Arabidopsis thaliana: one gene and its partners. The protein of the gene in region 1 interacts with the protein of each later gene in a pairwise test. Each region holds a gene or a part of one and is shown in the gene's direction. Other genes may lie near its edges. The genes, in order: ERDL6, AT3G62400 and DiT1.

The links.
Region 2: the proteins of ERDL6 (region 1) and AT3G62400 interact in a protein complementation assay, tested with the Arabidopsis thaliana proteins (one large-scale study listed by BioGRID).
Region 3: the proteins of ERDL6 (region 1) and DiT1 interact in a protein complementation assay, tested with the Arabidopsis thaliana proteins (one large-scale study listed by BioGRID).

The regions. Positions count from the first base shown.
Region 1 is NC_003070.9:28,228,479-28,234,875, reverse strand, and holds ERDL6 (Major facilitator superfamily protein), read left to right. Parts: upstream 1-1,741; 5' UTR 1,742-2,269; coding exon 2,270-2,464; intron 2,465-2,786; coding exon 2,787-2,849; intron 2,850-2,939; coding exon 2,940-3,029; intron 3,030-3,129; coding exon 3,130-3,189; intron 3,190-3,275; coding exon 3,276-3,341; intron 3,342-3,419; coding exon 3,420-3,485; intron 3,486-3,577; coding exon 3,578-3,653; intron 3,654-3,746; coding exon 3,747-3,811; intron 3,812-3,940; coding exon 3,941-4,033; intron 4,034-4,124; coding exon 4,125-4,205; intron 4,206-4,302; coding exon 4,303-4,387; intron 4,388-4,466; coding exon 4,467-4,576; intron 4,577-4,678; coding exon 4,679-4,738; intron 4,739-4,833; coding exon 4,834-4,899; intron 4,900-4,977; coding exon 4,978-5,037; intron 5,038-5,141; coding exon 5,142-5,256; intron 5,257-5,351; coding exon 5,352-5,464; 3' UTR 5,465-5,850; downstream 5,851-6,397. Other genes in the region: AT1G75230 (DNA glycosylase superfamily protein), read right to left, coding at 1-432; AT1G75210 (HAD-superfamily hydrolase, subfamily IG, 5'-nucleotidase), read right to left, coding at 6,125-6,247, 6,339-6,397. UniProt on the Arabidopsis thaliana protein: Sugar transporter.
Region 2 is NC_003074.8:23,088,020-23,091,458, forward strand, and holds AT3G62400 (cytochrome C oxidase subunit), read left to right. Parts: upstream 1-1,576; 5' UTR 1,577-1,684; intron 1,685-2,264; 5' UTR 2,265-2,275; coding exon of another isoform or gene 2,276-2,393; coding exon 2,394-2,654; 3' UTR 2,655-2,802; downstream 2,803-3,439. Other genes in the region: TBL6 (TRICHOME BIREFRINGENCE-LIKE 6), read right to left, coding at 1-70, 157-349, 549-1,123; CP12-2 (CP12 domain-containing protein 2), read left to right, coding at 2,987-3,382. UniProt on the Arabidopsis thaliana protein: This protein is one of the nuclear-coded polypeptide chains of cytochrome c oxidase, the terminal oxidase in mitochondrial electron transport.
Region 3 is NC_003076.8:4,058,987-4,064,086, reverse strand, and holds DiT1 (dicarboxylate transporter 1), read left to right. Parts: upstream 1-1,797; 5' UTR 1,798-2,167; coding exon 2,168-3,256; intron 3,257-3,485; coding exon 3,486-3,707; intron 3,708-3,797; coding exon 3,798-4,160; 3' UTR 4,161-4,236; coding exon of another isoform or gene 4,237-4,237; 3' UTR 4,238-4,508; downstream 4,509-5,100. Other genes in the region: MYB46 (myb domain protein 46), read left to right, coding at 587-1,148; AT5G12850 (CCCH-type zinc finger protein with ARM repeat domain-containing protein), read right to left, coding at 4,899-5,100. UniProt on the Arabidopsis thaliana protein: 2-oxoglutarate/malate translocator involved with DIT2-1 in primary ammonia assimilation and in the re-assimilation of ammonia generated by the photorespiratory pathway.

The DNA.
Region 1 (6,397 bases):
ACTTCGGAGATGGTGAAGAGCTGCTTCAAGCTCGCCTTCACAAGTGAGAGACCTTGCTTGGATTCTCGGCACGGTTACAGTGCGTGACTGTGATAATTTACTCTTCGTTGCCGGTTTCGTCGTCGTCATCTGAGAAAGGTTATGCTCCGGATTGAATCCGTCGGAAGCGTCGTCGTCGGGTGAAAGTTTTCTGATTTTTCGAGGACGGAGAGGGATCTTGGTAGGTGGAGACGATACATTGCCTAATTCAGTGACTTGTGGTGCTTCAATGGTGGTTGATGAGACGATTGAGCCAGAAACTCCGGCGGATGAGGCGGAGTCGTCATCGTTGGTTTCCGGTGGAATTGGATTAGGGGTTTCGTGATTGGGTGATTCCGGTTGGTTTGGAGGAAGAGTATGAGATGATGGTTGAGAAGGTGAATGTTCACCCATGTGAAATTGAAGATTTCGAATTGATAGAATTAGGGTTTTTGGTCGCTTCAGAGACGAAGACGAAGAGAATCGAAAACCTAATCGGAGAATTAGCCACGACCGAGTGAAGTTGCGTCTCGGGTCTTGACGTTAATTCTTCTCTAACGCGCTTTTCATGAGAGTGCCCTTCACGCTCCGACGTCCTCAATATGGGCCTATCTTAATAAGCCCAATATGGTTTTGCTTGGGTCTTTAAATTGGGCTCAATAAACCCTACAGTTATTTTATTAGAGGTCAAGAACTAGTCTTTGGGTTGTGTGAGCGAGGAAAATAGTCTTCACCAAAAAAAGAAGGAAAGAAAGTATTTGATGTATTTTTTTTCGTATAGACTAAAGATCTGATTGAGTAATGTTTATGTTTATAATAAGATCTGATGGGAGTATTTTACATGTGAAAAATGTGGAGGAAAGAAGAGACTTAATCAATTATAATTATATATGTAAAGAAGATATTATAAAGTTCAAAAAAAAGAAAAAAAAAAAAGTAGATATTGTAAAGTTGTGGTCAACGAAAGAAAAAATGAGTGATGAATGGAGACAGTAAGATCAGATCACAAAGACGTGTTTGGTGTGATTTGATTTGATTATGTGTCTTTTTCTGTGTTGGCCTCCTCTTACATTTCTCTCGTTTTGCTCATGTATTCTCCGTGGGGTAGTTTGAGCAAATGTTTGACAAACTCCATAAACATTGCAATTTATATTTATTGCAATTGGTACGAAAATTATTGATGTATAATTGACTAGTGGATAGGAAAGTTATAAATATATGATATTGATGTAAAACAAACTTACAATATTTTAAAAATTCAGCATATTCAAAAAAAAGAGAGATATGTAAGCTTTTAAAAATCAATTGACACCACACCACACAGATCAATTTTCACACACGCAAAAATACCATTATAAACTATGATTTCAGTTATAATAGTTAAAATACAATTCAAACAAATAATTTTGGATTGATCTCTTTGTGATCATGCTATAGAATCACTTAAATGACCCAAACAACTTTATATAATGTATGTTGTTTGGATTCTATACATTACTATTTTTATTGCACTTCCATTCATCATTTTTTTTCTTCTTGATTTTCTGTCTTTGTATACTTTATTTCTCTTATCTGTTAACGTGTAAGTAAGATGTGGATGTCTTATCCAAGTGGACACATTTCCATAAAATCATAAAATTATGAGATATGTTTTATTAAATATTAGCCGGTTTTGGAAGACCTCATATTCCTATGAATTTACAGAAATATTACCAAAATAATTGCATATATTTTAATAAAATTTAGAATTTTAGGAAAAAACATGCCAAGTGGTAATAAAAGAGAAAAGAATCCAAAATAAAATAAATTATCCAATTATCCCAAAAAAAAAAAAAGAAGCAAAGCTATATTTCTATTTATTTTTGTCTAAATTTGGTTGATGCGACGACTGGAACTGTGATCTAAAAAAAAATGCCTGAAGCAGTCTAAATAATTCTTCTTCTCTCCAGCAATTAAACACTACATTACAGCCGTATAGACCCAAATCCTTTTTCGTTTTTTTTTTTTTAATAAGACGGCATTTCTCTCTCAATCCGTTCTTATCCAAGCAAAGCTCCGTCATCAAATTCATTAGATCTTCCAAATTGAGTTACAAAGTCCAAAGTCGGCTCTTTTTTGGCATTTTCCGGCTTAGAATAGGCATTTTACCTCCAGGGGGGCTAAATAGTGAAGCTTTTTTGTTTGTTCTTGAAGATATAAAGAAAGATTTGTAGATTAGGATTTGAGAAACTGTAGAAGATAGAATCAAAAGATGAGTTTCAGGGATGATAATGAGGAGGCTAGGAATGATTTGCGTCGGCCGTTTATTCACACCGGAAGCTGGTACCGGATGGGTTCGAGACAATCGAGTATGATGGGTTCCTCTCAAGTTATTCGAGACAGCTCTATCTCTGTTCTTGCATGTGTTTTGATCGTTGCTCTTGGCCCTATTCAATTCGGATTCACTGTAAGACAAATTCAAAATCTCAACTTTTTTTACATTTTTATTCCCTTTGTAGAAGAAAGGTGTGACTTTTGGTGGAAAAACTAGTGTGAGCTGGATTTGATGATCTTGGGTTTGGTTTGATTTGTCATTTTCAATGCAAGTCTGGTGATTTGAAAATCTCATATTTGGTGAACCGAGATGATTTTTTCAAGTTTGCTGACAGATTTAGAGGACTTTGAATTGGGAATTTCTGATTGTTTGCTTAAACCTTCCATGTTTGACTTTGATCACCATCTTTTAGTACTCTGTGTTTGGTCCTTAAACCCTCCATCCTTTTGTTCAGTGTGGTTATTCATCTCCAACTCAAGCTGCAATCACCAAGGATCTCGGTTTAACAGTATCTGAGGTAATGGACTGATCATTGTCTAGAGCTGTCTGGTTTTTATCATTGCTTGTTTAGCCGTGTTTGACTTTGATGTACCACTCCATGTTTTAGTACTCTGTGTTTGGTTCTCTTTCCAATGTGGGTGCTATGGTTGGTGCAATTGCCAGTGGTCAGATTGCAGAATACATTGGACGAAAAGGGGTATACTTTGTTATCTGATTCTTGATCGTTCTGTTTTAGATCCATTTTATAAAGTCCTCTTTCTTGCGTTCTAAACATCTTATTGTGTTTTCTTGGACAGTCTCTTATGATTGCTGCAATTCCCAATATCATTGGATGGCTTTGCATATCATTTGCAAAAGTGAGTTTTTGTCGTTCTCATACCATAAATTGGCGATTTGATTGTGTTGCTTGACTTTAACTCTTTACATCATTCTGGTTTTGTAGGATACTTCTTTTCTTTACATGGGAAGACTTTTAGAAGGCTTTGGCGTTGGGATCATCTCTTACACTGTAATACTGAACTTAACTAGCTATTTACTTATGGAATAACGGTTCAGTATATTAATGCAACTCGGTTCGTGATTTTAGGTACCTGTATATATCGCTGAGATAGCTCCACAAAATATGAGAGGAGGATTGGGTTCGGTTAACCAGGTTAGACATGTGTAGTGACTAATTCCTGTTTTGACTTTTGTGTACTGACTCGTAATGCTAAACAAGAAATGTTGTGTAACTTCTTGCTGTAGCTTTCTGTGACAATTGGAATAATGTTGGCGTATTTACTTGGCCTCTTTGTTCCATGGAGAATTCTTGCAGTTCTGGGTAAAATCTCATTACACGGCCTGAGACTATTTTGTGATTATGAATAATTGCTACGCTCTAATCACTTTCTCTGTTCTCTTCCTTTATCTTTAGGGATATTGCCGTGTACATTATTGATACCAGGTCTCTTTTTCATCCCCGAATCCCCTCGCTGGCTGGTAAGCCTTACAGTAGTTTGCTTATTCTTCTTGAGTTTAGTGCATATTTTGGTTACTCCACTCTTTTTTTTTTTTTTAATAACATCATTAATCATCTCTGATGGGATACTTGATTTCGTTAAAATGTAGGCAAAAATGGGTATGACAGATGAATTTGAAACTTCATTACAAGTTCTTCGAGGATTTGAGACTGATATTACCGTTGAAGTTAATGAAATCAAGGTAACACTACCACTTAAAATCTTTCCTTCCAAGAGTTACATGAAGACTGGTTTTCAAACGCTAATTTTTCATCTTTTCTGCAAATCTGCAGAGATCTGTGGCATCATCTACAAAGCGAAATACAGTTCGGTTTGTAGATCTCAAACGCAGGAGATACTATTTCCCACTTATGGTACAAATATTGAATATCTTTCCTTGGAATATACTTTGTCTATCATAAGAAACATTATCTTAAAACTTCTTTTTTGTCGTGTGTGTGTGTGTAACAGGTTGGTATAGGGTTGCTTGTACTTCAACAACTTGGTGGAATTAATGGTGTCCTATTCTATTCCAGTACAATATTTGAATCTGCAGGTAGGGTTTTTCTAACACCTGAAGCTTCTTGTTTCATATTATTACTTTAATTTTTCATTTTCCGTGTTTTCATGTTTAGGAGTTACATCGAGTAACGCAGCAACATTTGGGGTCGGGGCTATTCAGGTAGTAGCGACTGCAATATCCACTTGGTTGGTGGACAAAGCAGGTCGTCGGCTTCTGCTTACTGTGAGTATTAACTCATTACTTTCATATCTTTCCGACTTCCCTCTACAGAAAGATTTAAGACATATCCAAGATTAACTAATGCAAATGGAAAATATTTTCCAGATCTCTTCGGTTGGGATGACGATTAGCCTTGTAATTGTTGCAGCTGCTTTCTATCTTAAGGTACTTTTTAAAATCTTGAACTTCCATACACATCATTTCATCTTCTGCAACAAATCCAAGATTCGACTTTCTGAGTTTTACATCTCTTCTTTTAGGAATTTGTGTCTCCTGATTCAGACATGTACAGTTGGCTGAGCATATTGTCAGTAGTTGGAGTTGTGGTAAGTTAGTTATATAGCGGAACTTTCTAGAATGCAATGAATGATTATTTGTGCCTTAACTCTGTTGAATCGTTATAGGCAATGGTTGTCTTTTTCTCATTGGGAATGGGACCAATACCGTGGCTCATTATGTCTGAGGTAATGAGTTGGTTAGAAGTTAGAACTAAGTGTTGTAAGAACCGAAAAGCGAAAAACTTATTGAACTCTACCTTTGCTTGCTTTGTTTGTTGTTTGATAAACAGATCCTTCCTGTGAACATAAAGGGTTTAGCTGGAAGTATTGCAACTCTAGCCAATTGGTTCTTTTCTTGGTTGATCACCATGACAGCAAATTTGCTGTTAGCCTGGAGCAGTGGAGGTTCCTTTCTCTCTTTCTCTTCTTTTCTCTTTCTCTCATACCATTTGGGACAATAGAGCATTATCTTGATGGATTTTTGGGTTAATATTGGACAGGAACTTTCACTCTGTATGGATTGGTTTGTGCATTCACAGTGGTGTTCGTGACTCTATGGGTTCCTGAGACCAAAGGCAAAACTCTTGAAGAACTTCAATCCTTGTTCAGATGAACAAATTGAAACAACTTCATTCTTTGTCACCCTCTCTCTCCCTCTCTGTTTTGGCCAAGAACAAGAAGAAACAAGAGATTTTCCAGCTTTGTTAATTGGGCTGAGAACGTTACTAAGATTTGTTTGTTTGTTCGTTGTGTGTCAATAATCGCATTATCTTCTATCACATGTATATCAACATACTACATTCAAGTATTTGTAATTTTATTGAACTCTTTACATAGAGCAAAGGTTTTGCCAAGAGAGAGCATTATGAACATCGACATTGCCAGAAAAGCTCCCAAGGGTTTTAATATGATGATCAAGAAATTTAACTCAACAGCAAGAAAAAGCAAACCCACTGGTAAGAAGTTGCTAGCCCAGCAGTAACTGAGGTTACTAGGAAACAAAACTTGGGGGATAGTAGAGATTTGGTCCAAATATGATCAATCAATATGAAGTTTTGTAAACACTGAAATGCCTCTTTAAGGAATATCATCGACATTCAATACAAATTTCCAAAAGATAACATGTCACTAGAGTCGCAAGCTTGTACCAAGTGAAATTGAAATGCAAATAGGCAAGAGAAACTAAGAAATGTTTATAGACACTAAGAATAAGTACCAAACCAGACCATTACTGGATTTACTCTCTCACTGCTATAGAGGTCATTGGGCTGAATCACAGAGGAAGAAGGTGAAATTCATGGGACATGAAGTCTTCACTGGGTCTGTAATACTTGTCTGGTGAGTACAAGCGTAGGTTTGAGACTTGGCTTGTGTACAGGCATGCGAATCTTTCCACCTGATGATTCGAAGATAATGCAGTTTGGAAAAAGTTATTCCCCACAATCGCAAAACACCACATAAGAAAGCAAAATATAAACCGTATTTACCTGATGAGCAAATCGAGAACTCTGGTAGCCAGTTTTCATCAGTTGCCCCCAGACCTTGT
Region 2 (3,439 bases), on another chromosome or scaffold:
TTCCTATTCTTGCTCTACCCTCACGAACCAAGAAATGAGTAACATAGAATTCCACAGTGCATTTATAATCCTAGTCAAGTACACAAACATGACATTAACACAACCACACGCCTGAAATACACTTAATGGTCCATTAAGATTAAAGTCATATTGTACCACGAAACGGAAGCTATAATTCCCTTTCTCTTTGGTGATTCTTCGGTTGTGCGTTTCGTATACTCTCTTGGGATCTTTAACAGCTTGAAACAACAAACAAAGCATAGATTCCCATTGGTTCCTATTAATTGAATCTCCAACGAACACTAGCCTCTTGCCTCTAATCATTTCCAGCATCTTTGTAGCATTGAACCTAAACTCACACATACCACAATTTCCAATTCAGGACCATGAATTGCATTCCTACTTATTCAGAGAGATTAAGTGCTCAGTGGAACTATGAATCCCACTTATCATCATCAGTCACTATCACCAACCACTACTACTTCAATAGAGAGATCTTCTTAAAGGCCTACGAGGAAAACAACAAAATTAGAAAGAAGAAATTAAACCTGGGAGCATGACAATCCTGAGGCTCCCATCTCCAATTCATGTAATTAAGATCCAATCTTCCATTGCTTTGACAACCAAATCCTTCATCGATAAAAGGACAAGACGCATTTGTGTACAATGGATAATCACTATCGTAAACCCACTTCCCTTTCGTAACATCACATTCTTCGATTCTCTTCTCTGTCTTCTTATCTTCACCATTGTTGCTCGGAAGTTCAATCACTTTAATCGAAGTTAAATTAGCAATTTCCCTAACTTCCTTAACCAAACTCTCGCCGCTAATCTTCTGCTCAAAAACAGAAATTTTTGAAGACCCGGAAGTGTTTTCGGGTGAATTGAAATGGGTAGAGATCAGAATCGGACTTGCTTGAGGAGAAACTGAAGAATCGGAAATGGCGGCAATAGGGCTTAAATCGATCTGGAAGTTAGCTTCTGGTGTTGGGTAAAGAGAAGAGTTAGATTTGAGTAAGGAAGAGGAGAAGAAAGTGAAGAAAACAATGGCGGAAGAGATTATTGTGATGATGAATGCTAAGACTCTTGTGGACTTCACAGAGAAACTTCTTTGTCTCTCCATCTTCTATCTCTTTATTTATTTTTTCTCTGTAACTGTTATAAGTTAGTTAAGAAAAAACAGTTTCATAATTATCTGTAATCAGAGAAATTTGAAATCGAAAAATGGAACTGTTTGAGAAAAGGATTGAAATTTTGGAGTCGACAAAGGTGGTTGAATTAGTGGGGTATAGAGGAGAGATTCGGTGAAGAAATGATAATGACGTTCTTACAAACTCGTGAGCTCATGAATTTTACAATAATTAACGGAACAGAGGGAAAGATAATGATTATTTAAAAAAGTTCAGGATTAGGAAATTAGTTTAGTGTGTTGACAGATTGGATTTGGCATTATTAACGTGGTGGGACACACTCGGGGAACACGAGCAGCGAATGGTTTACTTTTTTAAAAAGCAAATTCCATAAAATGCCCATTGAAGAAATAAGAGATCAGGCCCATGTTTAAGGCCCAATAAGACACAAATGGAGTAGAGAAGTGATTATCTGCTTACGCAACTTCTTCAATCACCCACCATTTCGTTTTCGTCGTGAGCTTCTGTCTCGTTCATCTACACAATCTGACTCGGTAAAGTCCATATTCTTCCCTTGATGATAATTGTTGTTTCCTTTATGATTTTGTGGTGATTTTCGTTATAGATAGGTGGCGGATTGTGAAGTTACGATTAATTTTTATCAGATTCGAATCCATTTCTCGTTTTTTTTCCCGTGTAGATCGGTGTGCTTAAGATCGGAATTTCTCGTTTAAATCTTCCGTTGATTTAGATTTGATGCTCTTAGTGTTGTGATGCTTTGAAACGTTAATCCTTTTCTTCGGGAGAAATGCCAATTTTATTTTCAGTATCTGGATCCTGTGGATTAGGGTTCTTGTATCATTTTGGGAATAAATTCAAAGCCTTTGATATCTTCCTTTGAATAGAGACGTAGTTAAGAGGTTAGACAGAAAATGGATCGAAATTGTACATGTTTATGTGTATATATAGACTCCAAGTGCAAACCAGTAGAAATTAAGAGATCAGGTAGATTAGTGTGTGTGTGTGTATAGATGTTTTATTGGTTGTCAATAAAGTTTTCAGCTTTAGGAATCGTGAGCATTGTGAAAGTATCAATTATGTTAGTATTGACTCTATGATTAAAATGTGTGCTAGGTTGAGAAGAAATGGCAGGACACAAGGTTGCGCATGCCACATTGAAAGGCCCGAGTGTTGTCAAGGAATTGATTATTGGTTTGACGCTTGGTTTAGCTGCTGGTGGTCTCTGGAAGATGCACCATTGGAATGAGCAGAGGAAAACTAGAACTTTCTATGATTTGCTTGAGAGAGGTGAGATCGGTGTTGTCGCCTCTGAAGAGTGAATGGGAATGCCTCTCTCTCACTCTCAATGTTGTTGGCTCGATTTTTCTGTTTTTATGGTTTCTTGAGATCTCAGATAAGTTACCTAAGAAAGTTGGTTGCTTGAGAAATAAACAACCACTCAGACATCAAAATTGGATATTTGTTAACACATTGTTTTCCGGAGATACAGTGGTTGAAACTTGAGACATCTGTCTTGACTTTTCCTTAAACAGTGTGTGATCATTTTATTATACTTACCAGCTTATTTTTTCTCATCTTTTTTGGATAAAATACGCAACAGGCACTTGTATCTTAGAAAACGGCTTGGATGGCTGCAAATTTTCAACATCGTACTGCTTCATAAACGATATCAAATACGTGGAACTTAATTGTTGGTTAATAGAGGATAAGAAATGGGGTTCACAGAATTAAATTCACGCACACTTCATATATCTTGTTCCCTCCCAATTATCTGAACTATCTTCTTTTATCAAAAACTATATTCACAGGCTGCCGTGTACCTTCTCCATCCAAAGATGGCAACTATAGCTACTGGTCTTAACATTGCAACCCAGCGTGTCTTCGTCACCAGCGAGAATCGGCCAGTTTGTCTCGCCGGTCCGGTCCATTTGAACAATTCGTGGAATCTTGGGTCAAGAACAACTAACCGGATGATGAAACTTCAGCCGATTAAAGCAGCACCGGAAGGAGGGATATCGGACGTAGTGGAGAAAAGCATTAAGGAAGCTCAGGAGACTTGTGCGGGCGATCCTGTGAGTGGAGAGTGTGTAGCTGCGTGGGACGAGGTTGAAGAACTTAGCGCAGCAGCTAGCCATGCTAGAGACAAGAAGAAGGCTGATGGTTCGGACCCTTTGGAGGAATACTGCAAAGACAATCCTGAGACCAACGAGTGCCGTACTTACGACAACTGAAGCGATCAAGATCCTGTTCCGGATTCATACGTATACGACAAATCTTTGTTCCGGTCC
Region 3 (5,100 bases), on another chromosome or scaffold:
TAATAGTAGTAAGAATGGAAATAGACGCATAAAACCAAAATAGGTATGAGTACATTCACATGTAATTATGTGAGTGGTCAAAGTTCGTTGATCGTGGGTTTTAAGACTTAGAGTGCGTCTTATGATCTTATCTAACAACAAACACTTATTTTAGTGAAAGCGGCTTTTGTCACTTTACACACCTTTTCTTCTCTTCCTTAGGGTTTTACTTCAACTTTCATCTTTGTAATTATATATTTATTAGTTCCTTTTTTTGTCACTTTCTCCAGAAATATACGTTCTAGTGTTTTTTACGCAGGACATGTTTCCTCTCTATTTATATATATATATATATATATATATATATATATATATATATATATAGATTCAATTCAAAACACGCAGTGTGTATAATGTCATTTTATTGCTTAATATGATTGTGCAATTTTATAATTGTTGATATATTGCCTCTTTTTCACGTACTCAAACATAAAAAACATGAAGAACGGATCACTCTCTAATTCCCATGCAAACCATGCACTGGTATACATTTTACATAACATCATCTCATTAAACTATTCTACTCTCTTATTCTTCGATTTCATAGGTGGTCTCAGATTGCAGCACGATTGCCTGGTCGGACCGATAACGAGATCAAGAATTTCTGGAACTCAACAATAAAGAAAAGGCTAAAGAAGATGTCCGATACCTCCAACTTAATCAACAACTCATCCTCATCACCCAACACAGCAAGCGATTCCTCTTCTAATTCCGCATCTTCTTTGGATATTAAAGACATTATAGGAAGCTTCATGTCCTTACAAGAACAAGGCTTCGTCAACCCTTCCTTGACCCACATACAAACCAACAATCCATTTCCAACGGGAAACATGATCAGCCACCCGTGCAATGACGATTTTACCCCTTATGTAGATGGTATCTATGGAGTAAACGCAGGGGTACAAGGGGAACTCTACTTCCCACCTTTGGAATGTGAAGAAGGTGATTGGTACAATGCAAATATAAACAACCACTTAGACGAGTTGAACACTAATGGATCCGGAAACGCACCTGAGGGTATGAGACCAGTGGAAGAATTTTGGGACCTTGACCAGTTGATGAACACTGAGGTTCCTTCGTTTTACTTCAACTTCAAACAAAGCATATGAATATTTTTACGTCATCTTATTCTTTTTTCTATTGCGGTTTATACTCAAGATTCTTAGCCACACACACATAAATGCAAATATATATACATTGTTAGAGAGTATTTTGTATTTCGAATAATCTTTTCGTACTAGGGCTTGAGCCTTGAGGTGCCATGTAATGATTAGTCAATGTAAAACATATATCCTATAATAAATAAATAAAAGAAATAATAAGCACATACATTCTTTAATATAACAGGGGCAAACACTTGAAGAATTTTGTAATCAAGTAGCAATGGAGAAGATTGAACTAATTAAATGAAAGTTTTTCTGATGTTATATCTTTGGATAAAACTGAACATTTTGTTTTATTGAATGTACTTTAAAACATTTGGTAACTTTCTTAGACATTCACATTAGAAAGTATCCTCTTACATAAAAGAATCATGTATTCAATATTTGATGTCACACCTTACTCTAAACAAACAAATCAAAACTATGAACCATATAACACTCAAAGAAAAAAAAACGAGAGGCCGCTTAAGGGTTTACACTAGATTTAATTCCAAGCGAAGCCATCTCGGCCCATCTTGGACAATGTAATGAAAGCTACTATTCTATTGCCAGTTAATCTTTCATTGGACGATCCACTAGTAAACGCATAGTTTAAGATCTTTCAAAACCAAAAAACAAAGCTAATAAATCAATAGAAAATTTGTTGAGTGAAGGATTTTGCTTTGTATGTTTCGTCGATCTAAAAAGACCAAACCCAAACCCAAAATGGCTTTTCGTAAATATTTCAGCCAATAGGATGAGGTGACTGACCCACCAAAGACGGAGATCTCTATTTCTCACCTCACGATCTCATCTCATCATCACTCTCTCTCACTCTTGTCCGTATATTCCTTTTCTTAATCTCACCGTCCGATTCCAATCCAACGGTCAACATTTATCCAACTCTCTCTTTCCTCTTCTTACTCATTTCCTTCTTCACTTCCCTCTCCTCTTCACACCTCTCTCTCGCCGACGACGCTACAACCATGGCGTCTCTCGCTCTCTCCGGCTCCTGCTCTCTCGCTTTCCCTCTCAAATCTCGATCTCTCTCTCTCCCTCGTCCTCCTTCTTCCTCTCTCAATTTGACGAAACCTCTCCGATCTCTCGATTCTCGCTTCTCCTTACTCAAATCTCCACTTCCCGTCTCTTTACGCCGGAGATCATCAACTCTCGTTAAAGCCTCTTCCACCGTCGCTTCAGCTTCCTCTTCTCCAACTCCTCCTTTGGTTCCAGCTCCGGTTCCATGGCAAGGAGCTGCCATTAAGCCTCTTCTCGCTTCGATCGCTACTGGTTTGATTCTATGGTTCGTTCCAGTCCCCGAAGGTGTCACTCGCAACGCGTGGCAATTACTCGCGATCTTCCTCGCCACCATCGTCGGGATCATCACTCAGCCGCTTCCTCTCGGTGCTGTTGCTCTAATGGGATTAGGAGCTTCCGTTCTCACCAAAACCCTAACGTTCGCCGCCGCGTTCTCCGCTTTCGGAGATCCAATCCCGTGGCTCATCGCTCTTGCCTTCTTCTTCGCTCGCGGTTTCATCAAAACCGGTCTCGGTAACCGTGTAGCTTACCAGTTCGTTAGACTCTTCGGTAGCTCCTCCCTTGGTCTCGGTTACAGTCTCGTCTTCAGTGAAGCTCTTTTAGCTCCGGCGATTCCTTCTGTCTCGGCTCGTGCCGGTGGAATCTTTCTCCCGTTGGTGAAATCTCTCTGTGTTGCTTGTGGGAGTAACGTTGGGGATGGAACAGAGCACCGTCTTGGCTCGTGGTTGATGCTTACTTGTTTCCAGACTTCTGTGATCTCTTCTTCTATGTTCTTGACGGCTATGGCTGCGAATCCTTTGAGTGCTAATTTGGCGTTTAACACGATTAAGCAGACGATTGGATGGACTGATTGGGCTAAAGCTGCGATTGTACCAGGACTTGTGTCTTTGATTGTTGTTCCGTTTCTTTTGTATCTCATCTATCCTCCTACGGTGAAGAGCAGTCCTGATGCTCCTAAGCTGGCTCAGGAAAAGCTTGACAAGATGGGACCTATGTCTAAGAACGAATTGATTATGGCTGCCACTTTATTCCTCACGGTAAGTGTGCTTCTGCTTCATCGGATCTGTTCTTACTTATGGTGAGAGCTTGATTTGAAAGGTGCTTCAGTATTGAACATTGAGAGATTTTAGCTATTGTAGCTCCTTAGATTAAGCTAGGGCTTTGCTTCTGTTTAATGCATTTGCTTTGAGTGAAAATGTTTGTGGTTTTGGTGTTTTATTACAGAGAAGGTTTTCCTTTTCTAAAAAAGTGTTCTCCTTGACACAGGTTGGTCTCTGGATCTTTGGAGCTAAGTTGGGTGTAGATGCTGTGACTGCAGCCATTCTTGGATTATCAGTCCTTCTTGTGACAGGTGTTGTGACATGGAAAGAGTGCTTAGCTGAGTCGGTCGCATGGGACACACTCACCTGGTTCGCTGCTCTCATTGCGATGGCTGGTTATCTTAACAAATATGGTCTCATTGAGTGGTTCAGCCAGACCGTAGTCAAGGTTTGTTAAATGATTTGATGAATGCTTAATAAGCCTAATGACTTAGCATGCTAATGAAATGTTTTGACATTGTTTGGGTTTTGATTGCAGTTTGTGGGAGGATTGGGTTTGTCATGGCAGCTATCTTTTGGAATCCTCGTCCTCTTGTATTTCTACACTCACTACTTCTTTGCTAGTGGAGCTGCCCACATTGGTGCTATGTTCACTGCCTTTTTATCGGTTTCAACCGCTCTAGGCACTCCACCTTACTTTGCAGCCTTGGTTCTTGCGTTCCTTTCCAACCTGATGGGAGGATTGACCCATTATGGTATCGGGTCTGCGCCTATCTTCTACGGAGCTAACTACGTGCCGCTGGCTAAATGGTGGGGCTATGGATTCCTGATTTCAATAGTCAACATTCTCATCTGGCTTGGTGTAGGTGGTGCCTGGTGGAAGTTCATTGGCTTGTGGTGAGGACCACCATACACCAATCTTCCCATTCTTTTCCTTACTTATATATATAATCTCTTAGAACGGCTTTGAGATTCAGATTTGAGAAGGATTGAAATCAGGGTTATAAGGATTGAGCAGAGTTTTTCTGCAATTTTTATTCTCACTCACACACATTTTGAAGTGTAAGCAATCTTAACTTGCGTCAATTTTGTTTGATTTCTAACTTTACTGTTTCAAAGTGAGACCACCACTTTACTTGATAGTTACTCGACTTCCATAAACGTGTTAGTTGAGAGATTAATGTCTATTAGTCTATGAATCGCTGGTTAAAGTTTAGTGGAAAAAACAGGAAAGCAGAGAAAGCAATAGGAAATGAATGAATCTTATTAGCTGAAACAATATGTTATTATTTCTCATACAGTGTTCTTTGACAAATATGAAGGAGATATTAGAAACAATTGACAAACTGAGAGGATACAAAAAATGTAAATCAGAAATCCGGGAAGTAATAGAGGCGCACTTTGGCCATTGTTACAACAGAGATGATACAATAATTAATTTAATGAGGTGATAAAAATAAGAAAGTAAAGAAATTTCAGAAAGAAGCCTGAAAAAACTGAGCCTTTTAGGGTTATTAGAATCGAAAAAAGCTTACCCGGAGTTTGCTTTTGTTTCCGTTTGCTTTCTTGAATAATAAATAAACGAATCATCAGTTTCACAGCTTCACAGAAATGTGAACCTCTCTCTCGCAGCTGAGGCTCAGCGATCTAGGTGCAGCTGTTCAAGCCACGCATCAAGAATGTCGCTCTCACGAGTGTCACTGTTGTGAGGATTCACACTCGAACCACCTTGAGTCAATGGCCTTGCACCATTCATGTTCACAACACGGTTTCCGTTCCTAGGTGATGAAGAGTCTTTTAACATCTGCTGAGCCCATGAAACATCTGCTTCCCTGTTTGGG